2 linked regions of the Mus musculus genome follow. The protein of the gene in region 2 purifies or fractionates together with the protein of the main gene of each other region. This does not show direct contact. Links are inferred from orthologs where the notes say so. Each region holds a gene or a part of one and is shown on either strand. Other genes may lie near its edges.

Region 1 (4,605 bases), on a different chromosome or scaffold from region 2:
AAATGTTTTTAATTAATACTAACTTTTAGTAAATTTTCAAATTTACTTTAAAAATGCTAATTAATGTTCAAAGAATCTCTAGGTGGGTGGGTGGGTGGGTGTGTGCGTATCTCAATCTGGTTCCTCTTCTTTTCCCTACCTTCACCTAGCTGGGGTCTAAGCACAGAAGCATTGCTTAGAGAAGAATGTCAGCACTGATTGCCACCACATGTTTACCAATCTCAAACTGCTCTCAACCAAGTGGCTTCCAAGTCAGCTCCTAGTTGGTGTATCACATAGCCCAGGTTCTCTCCCTGCCAGATGACCTTAATCCCTTGAAACTAGAAACCTGTTGCTTCCAAGCCTCTTTGTTTTGATCAAGTTAACCTTTTTACTCTGTACTTCAACTCCCTACTGAGTAAAAATGTAGCTTATGCCAATGAAGAGGGTTGCAAGAATCATGCAGGAGGAGTCCCAAGTGCTATACTGAGAACACAGCAGAAAGGAATCAAGATACACAAAACCCCCTGCTGTCTTGAGGCTATTTATTTTCAGACCTAATTTAGACAGAAAAACTAGCTCCCCTCAGCAGGAACCATTTCGGGCGAAACCTAAAGAATTCGGCATCGCCGAGTAAAATGAGATAAAGGTCAAGTGTATGTGGAGCAAAAGCAGATGCACCTCAAACAGTGTAGCTCTACAAAAAGAAAAAGAGTTCCAAGATATCCACTGCACCAGGCACCCTGATGGGCATTGGAAAGAAATTGTTTGGACCTTCATTTCGAGGGAAGGACATGGAAAGTTCTAGTAGGAGAGTGACATGATCCAACTGTCATGCTGGCTACTGTACCATGAACAGAGTAAAACCAAGCAGGACCAGAAACAATGTCAGTCGTCGTCCCCAACCCCACCCCACCCCCAAGCCCGCCAAGAAATCCCTTTCCCCAGTCTGAAATAGTTCCTATGTGCTAAGTTTTCCCCTCATCTCTGGCAAAAGGGATACATTAACATATCTCTGTGGTTCTCATTGGCGTGTCAAGGTCAATGGTAGCCTCCACACTTCCTTATTCCATACTCACAAGTCCCCCACCCCCTAACCCAGCCCACAGGCCCAGGTATGGCTTCCATATAACCCAGAAGATCTTACACACACACACACACACACACACACACACACACACACACGTATACCCCCCTACATCCCCCCACCCCGCATCTTGCTGCTCTCCTCAGAGACAGCCTTGGCAGTTTAAAATAAACTTCTTACCCTTGTACCCATGCTTCATTGGTACCCATTTTCATTCAAATAGAAGAAACTAGTAAAGTCCAGAATGTGAGGTAGCCAAGGGGCTGTAGAGAATTGCATGGAACACATTAGAAGGGGCAGCATCTGCCAATTATTAGGGCTTTGGGGGCAGCCTAGATCTGTAGCCAGCACTCAATAACCTTTTAATAATTATTCATTTCCTTCTCCTTTTTCAGTCCTTCCCCCTACTCTCAATTCGGGTTTTAATTTCCTTTGGCAGAAAATATAAAGATACTTGCGTCTGTAGCCCTAATCTCAAAGTCACTAATGCCTTGATTTTTGTTGTTTTGTTTCTTTTGAGACAGGGTTTCTCTGTGTAATTCTGGCCATACTGGAACTCTCATGGTAGACCAGGTGGGCCTCAAACTCAAGAGATCCACCTGCTTCTGCCGCCCAAGCACTGGGATTAAAGGTGTGCGCCAACACCAGCAGGCTCTCTAATACCGCGCTATCAAACCTCATGATCACTCTGTAGACCTAAGAATACAAAGCGGAGCTTGTAACATTAAAACAACAATGTAGCTATCCTAGTCTGCTAGTCTCTACAAAAGTGATTTCTCTAAGGCTCAAAACATAAAAATGTTTCCTTTTTTCCAGCGGGGGAGCTCTGAAGTGTCGGGAAGAATTTCACACATCCCAGGCTAGCCTCAACTCACAAAGTAGCTGAGGATGACCTTGAATTTCTGACCCTAGGGCATTCACCGCCTGAGTACCAGGATTACAGGCCTGTACCACCATACTTGACATGTGCCGATAACTCTCTGGAGTCCAGCCAGCGCTCCTAAGAAACATCCGTACAAAGCTAGTTTGTTCTAGACTTCACCTGAAATGGCCCAAAAGCAAATCATATAATACTAAAATGTAGGCAGGGTTTATTTACTGATACATCCCAAGAACTCGCAGGATCCAAAGTTTAAGGCCAGCCTAGATAAAAAGCGCGGTTTTATAAACAACTGTATAAAGAACAACCACAGTCATCTGTAAAGTGGAAGGCACAGAGGGAAAATGTTCTTTAGTAAATTTAATTAAGGACACTTAACAGTACCTGACATATAAGGGCAAACATAACTGTTAAAGTAAAAAATTGATACATCAAGCCCTATTTTCGCCTTTTCCTTGATCATAAATGCCATTATAAGTGCAACCACAGACAGTAACTATGTTTCCAAGAAATAAATGGGAGGGAGGTGCCCTCATCGGGAGCTTGTGGAGAGGAAGGGCAAGATCTATGGCAAAGGTATTAAGGAGACAAAGAGATTAAGTATCTTAATTTTGGGACTTAGATACATTGTAGCTTTGCTCCCACGAAGGTAATGCCGGGAAGAGGAGGGGTCTGTAGGGACCCAACAGTCCCAGTGAGCTCACTCACCTCTAATGCTGCCTGGGGATCCCCGTCGATCAGAGCATCTGAGAAGCTCTGGAAAAGCCTGCCAAGAAAACAACGACTTCAGCAGGTCTCTCTAATCAAGGAAAGAATAGAAAGACAAACAGCAAAGGTGAAGAAAATCACGCACCGCTGGGACGATGCAGGTCCTGCTGCAGCTGCCGCCATCCCTAGGAGTCAAGAAAGCTTCTGCCTGAGCGTTTCTACCTTGGTTACCAGCTCCGCCGCCGCCCAGGAAGGGAAAACTTCTAAAGAAACCCCAACTGAGCTTCCGTCCTCCGTAGCCAATCAGCGGTCGCGCAGCATGCAGCCGCGGAAAAGGAGGCGAAGGGTGGGCAGGTAGGCGCGGGGCCGGCTGGGAAAGAGGAGGAAACGCTCTCCGGCCCCGCCCCTACCCGTGACGCAGCCAAGCCCCCGCCCCGAGGGCGTGGCCGTGAGTCCCGCGCCCCGCCGTACGCCCGTGGGGGATCCGGCATGGCTTGTAAGCTTTGAAATATTGTCTCGGAGCCCACTGTAAGGTACTGGGGATCCGTCGGGAGGTAGTTCTGGCTTCGCTAAGGAGTGTCACGTTAAGCTCCGTTTACTCCGGTTTTCATCATGGCTACCGCCGGCGGCCAAGTTGTGCGTGACGTCACTCGTGGCAGCCAGGTCTTTTCCGGCAGCAGAGCCCGGGATGGCGCATCAGTTCGCATGACTCTCTCCGTGGAGAACCCGGACGGCCTGGCTCGCCGGAAGTCACGTTACCGGCATGGAGGACGGAGTTTTCCGGAGGGCCTGCCAGATGCCAGAGCTCCACACCCCAAGCTTCCTTCCTAAGTCGGCTTTCCAAACCAAGAAAAGCCTGTTTCACAAGCACCGCGTGGATGAAAGTGACCTATAGCTAATGGTCTTATTGCTGCTTTGTGTTCTAAGTAACCAGTAAGCCCCCCGTCCCCCGCCGTCCTTAGAGCCAAACATCACACTAGGAAGTTTCCTGCGAATTCTTTGAAACTGAGTGGTAAGGGGCAACAGGAGGGAGTGGCAGTTATAGGTTCACCAAACTTGATTTAAAAGCTCTTGATAACGCTCAGTAACTCGTTTTACCAAGTCTGTTTTAGTAGGTGAAATGATTGAAGTGGTCGTTGGCTTCCTCAAACAAGATATATATAAGACCTCAGTCTGGAAACATGACAGTCCACGAAGAAAAAGAAATTACAGTTCAGGCATTTGTGTACATATCCCCACTGTTAAACTCGCCCACTTTTCTGAGTTCTAACTTTAAAAGACCTAAGTTTTGTCTTCCCCACTTTTCTAGCACGTTTTCCATACTGGCCAAACGCCTAGTTGTGCTTGCTAGCTATCGTGGGTATTATAATTTTTTGTTACAACCTCAACCTACCAATCAATCACCCCTTGCAGATGCAAAAAATAACGGTGGGAGGACGTTTGAAAATACAGAGAAACTTGAGCCCATATTCAAGATGGAGAAACGGAGGTTACAAAGATTTAAGTATGTATGGGGTCATCAAGAGATGGAAGTGTGGAATACTACAAAGTTTAAAGTGTAACACATTTGCCACCTGTAGGTATATCCCATCTGTATTGTAAATGGGTTGTTTGAAGGGGGGGGGGGGTCGAGCCGGGGCGGGGAAGGGCTGATAGAAGATAACAGGTCCCAGAAAGGAATCTGAATCCACTTGTGGGAAAGGAGAAGTAGGTGGGAGAGACACTTGAGGCAGACCAGGGCCAGCTGGCCACTAAACTCAAAGAGGTGCAGGTTTCAGGTTTTAGTAAGTACTGAGAAGATCAAATTAGCTCAACTAAACTGAAGCTAAGCAGATCTGTAAGGGAAGGTAGAGAGCATCGTTTTGGATCTTTCCATTCAAGGTTGTTTTCCGTTTCTGTGAACCCTGCAGAAACTAGACTGTAAAAGAACAGATGCATAACGATGAGGAGT
Region 2 (3,811 bases):
CTCTAATGGCTTTAATAGAATAATGGATGATATTAGCACCTACTTTTAACCAGGTTGTCCTTGAACTCATGGGAGCTGCCTGTTTCTGCTTCCCAAGCACTGGGATTAAAGGCATGCGCCACCAAGCCCAGCTGGATTTATCTTTTCTTAGTCACCAGTACATTGTCCTTCGAATATGGCACTTTTCAGAGATTAGATAAAAAAAATTCTTCAGGAAAAAAACAACATTTGCAGTCTATCAGGATTTTAAACGTTCTTCACTAAGGGACAAAGGTCACGAGTGAAATAAGGACTGAGACACAGCTCCATGGGGCATGCACAGGGCTGTAACTCCTGTGGTCCACAGACACACACACACACACTGTGAAGTGTAGCTTTGGCTCTTCTGGTGAAGTATATATAGAAATAAAAGCAAGACCATAATGATGAATACATATTGATTTCTTACGATCTACTTCTTCCCCAAAGTATTGGCACATAAATGTCAACAGCCTAAAAGAGTACATAATGAAAAGAGGCATTTGAACAGCATGGTTCCAAGTGACTAACTCTATGTCTCCTTTCTCCATAGCAAAGAGAAAGATACTTGCCCGAGCAAGCTTGATTTTAATCCTGATGGAATACCTTACTTCAAAACTGATCCACAAATTAGCTAATGTTTGTCATGAGGCAATTTAATCACCCACTTAAAAGTCTTACGATCTGGGAGTTAGGTGAGCAGCTCAATGGCCGGGCACATGCTGACCATTCTCCAGGCTCAGACTTTTAAATGCCAGCACGCACACATAAGGCACGCGCGCGCACACACACACACACACACACACACACACACACACACTAAACCTTATTCTCCCTAAGTGTTCTTATACAAGAAGGCTTTCCTTAACACAAAGGGTGGAAAGCCACAGTTTTAGGCCAAGGAGACTGCCTGGGAAATTTCACTTTTCCATAGTCCTCACCCTAGCCGTGCCTTACATATTCCATCCCTTACCATGTGACTAACAAGAGCCAAGTTCTCCTACTTAAATCACCAAAACTACTGCAAGGAACTGTTCCTGAAAGGCAGTACGGATGTAAAGGAAACATTATTGGTGTAATTATTAAGAAATAAAGTGCATATGCCTTTTAATATCAATATTGTTTAGTACAGTAGTACAATGAAAATGAAGACGTAGTTCAGTAGCTAATATCTAAAAAGTGTGGGACAAGGAAACAAGTTGTATATAAATAATAACAAAATGGGGGAAAGGGTTGCTCCCCTGCAAAAGAGACACTTGAAAACATAAGAAAATCGAATTGAATTTCTGCTCCCCAGTAAATCAGACAGGCTGCACAGTGACACCCACATGCAACCCCTGAAAGGCAGGGTCACACTCCGGAGGCTGCCCTTGGGCTTCTTCGTTTAACTGACAATTCTCTGGCGTCTGGCTAATTTCATCCTGTGAAGTAGAGGCCACTCTATGAGTCTCACTGTCAGAGGAGGCGTCAAACCTTTCCGGAGAACAAGCGAGGTGACGCTTACCGTCTCCTGCCACATCGTCAGAATCGGCCGCCTCTGCGGCATCGTCCAGCTGCTGGACGGAGGTTAAATACTGTTGGAGCAGAGTGTTGTCCTGCTCACTGGCTGAGCTCTCCCTACTGCAGTCACTGTGCTCCTCGGCTGTGGCCTCCGAGTCTCGGTCTTTGACGCATTTCACCGTGTCAGCGGAATTCCCCAACACGGAGTTTTCGCTGCTTTCTACCGAACTCTTTTCAAAATCCAACGAATCCTGCAGACAGGGAACTTGCTCTGTCAGGGAGGAGTGAAACCCAGAGTCGGGAAAGTCTGGCGCTGATCTCCCTTGCGCAGCTTCGTCCTCAGCAACGAGCCAGTCCGAACTCTGATCCGAAGAGGGGTCCTGATGATGTGGAAATAACGGGGGCTTGGGTGACGCCAGAGTACTTGATATAGGAGGCACGTCGGGCGGCCAGGAAGCCAGACGCTGTTCCACTGTCTGCTGCCAAGCTTGTACAGATCTTACCTGGAAACCAGGACACACAGTTTTAGTAGAAAGTAAACAGCCTGTCTTTTTTAAATGTCCAGAGCTTTTCCCCCACAGAAGTCCTGCAGTTGCCTGCATTCATTACCCGTCTAATCCCTTCACAGGGCTGACCCCAGCCTAACTGGGCAGGCACAGTGTTTTATGTCCTTGGCAGCAAAGCGTAACCCCCAGCACGAGAGGAAGGCCATAGCAGTTCTCCTGCTTCACGGGAGAAATACGACAGCATCTTTCTCACTAACGGATCGATAATGTGCAAAATATAGACAACATCTAGTCGATAAGGGCCGATTAGCACCTCTGAGTCTAAGTGCATCTTCTAAAATGAGTCTATTTTAGATATAGATGCAGACATGGGGTTTCCAGTTATTTTAAAATGTAGTATTTATAACTTTCTAAAATGACTAAAAATACCCCAAGTTCTTGACAATATGGCCCTTAATATTTTAAAGTTATAAAAATAATTTCAATTTTTTACTATAAAAATTGCAAGCTGAGCGGTGGTGGCACACGCCTTTCATCCCAGCACTTGGGAGGCAGAAGCAGGCAGATCTTCGAGAGCTTGAGGTCAGCCTGGTCTTCAGAGTGAGTTCCAGGACAGCCAGATCTACACAGAGAAACCCTGTCTCACAAAGCAAACCAAACAAGCAAACAAAAACAGCAACAACAAAAAGGCAAGGGTGGGAAAGGGCTCAGTAGTTAAAAAGACAAGCTATTCTTGACTGTAGGAGAGCAGTTCCCAACACCCACGCAGGTCACAACGGTACACCCACACAGCAGGTCACAACGGTACACCCACACAGCAGGTCACAACGGTACACCCACACAGCAGGTCACAACGGTACACCCACACAGCAGGTCACAACGGTACACCCACACAGCAGGTCACAACGGTACACCCACACAGCAGGTCACAAAGGTACACCCACACAGCAGGTCACAACGGTACACCCACACAGCAGGTCACAACGGTACACATCTCCAGGTGTGAGGCTTCCACACTCACCTGTGGCCCCAAGGGCACCGTACACACATAGGTCACATGCATACACTCCGGCAAAACACCCATACACAGAAATGTTTATTTTTTTAATTGCAGCTGGTATAGTGCTTGCCTAGCATACACGAGGTGCTGGTTTCAAACCCCAGCACTACACAAATCAGTTGTAATGGGGCACACCTGTAATCCCACCACTTGGGGGATGCAGGCAGGAGGATCAGGAGTTCAAGGTCACCCTTAGCTAGAGTGAGTGTGTGGCTAGCCTCGACCACATGAGAACCTATCTCAAAAATAGAGTAAGATAAAATAAAATGAAGTAGATAAAGATAGCTGGGGAGAGGAGAAAGCCAAATAGAGAAGTTTTAGTTTCACTTTGACTACTCTCCAGGGGAATTTCTTGTCTTTTTTTGAGGCAGGTTCTCACTATACAGCTCTGTGCCATTGAGGTACTTTCTGATAGTAGTCTAAAATGTATCTTTTCAGAATTTTTTTCTATGTATTTTCAAACATGTATAGTTTTCATACATATTTTCAATTTTTAATTTTTCTTTAGTTCTGGAGGGGGGCACATACAGCCTGCAGGAGCTGGTCCTTGCCTCTCATCACGTGGTCCCAGGGTCCAAACTCAGCTTGGCTAGCTTGATGGCCTACAGCTTCGTCCAGTGAACTAGCTCACTGGCCCTCAGAGAGCTCTGAAAACAGTGCTGCTCCACCTTCCTAATGCCCTTTCATACAGTTGCTCCTGTTGTGGTGACCCACAACCATAAAACTA

What was found.
Region 1: the proteins of Cep97 (region 2) and Sugt1 purify together in Homo sapiens (affinity purification with mass spectrometry; 3 studies listed by BioGRID and IntAct, with this or other methods). This does not show direct contact. The link is inferred for Mus musculus from reciprocal best matches to the Homo sapiens genes CEP97 and SUGT1.

The regions. Positions count from the first base shown.
Region 1 is NC_000080.6:79,586,061-79,590,665, reverse strand, and holds the start of Sugt1 (protein SGT1 homolog), read right to left. Parts: upstream 3,007-4,605; 5' UTR 2,838-3,006; coding exon 2,800-2,837; intron 2,713-2,799; coding exon 2,655-2,712; intron 1-2,654. UniProt on the Homo sapiens protein: May play a role in ubiquitination and subsequent proteasomal degradation of target proteins.
Region 2 is NC_000082.6:55,903,849-55,907,659, forward strand, and holds part of Cep97 (centrosomal protein of 97 kDa), read right to left. Parts: intron 2,022-3,811; coding exon 1,320-2,021; 3' UTR 1-1,319. UniProt on the Homo sapiens protein: Acts as a key negative regulator of ciliogenesis in collaboration with CCP110 by capping the mother centriole thereby preventing cilia formation. Required for recruitment of CCP110 to the centrosome.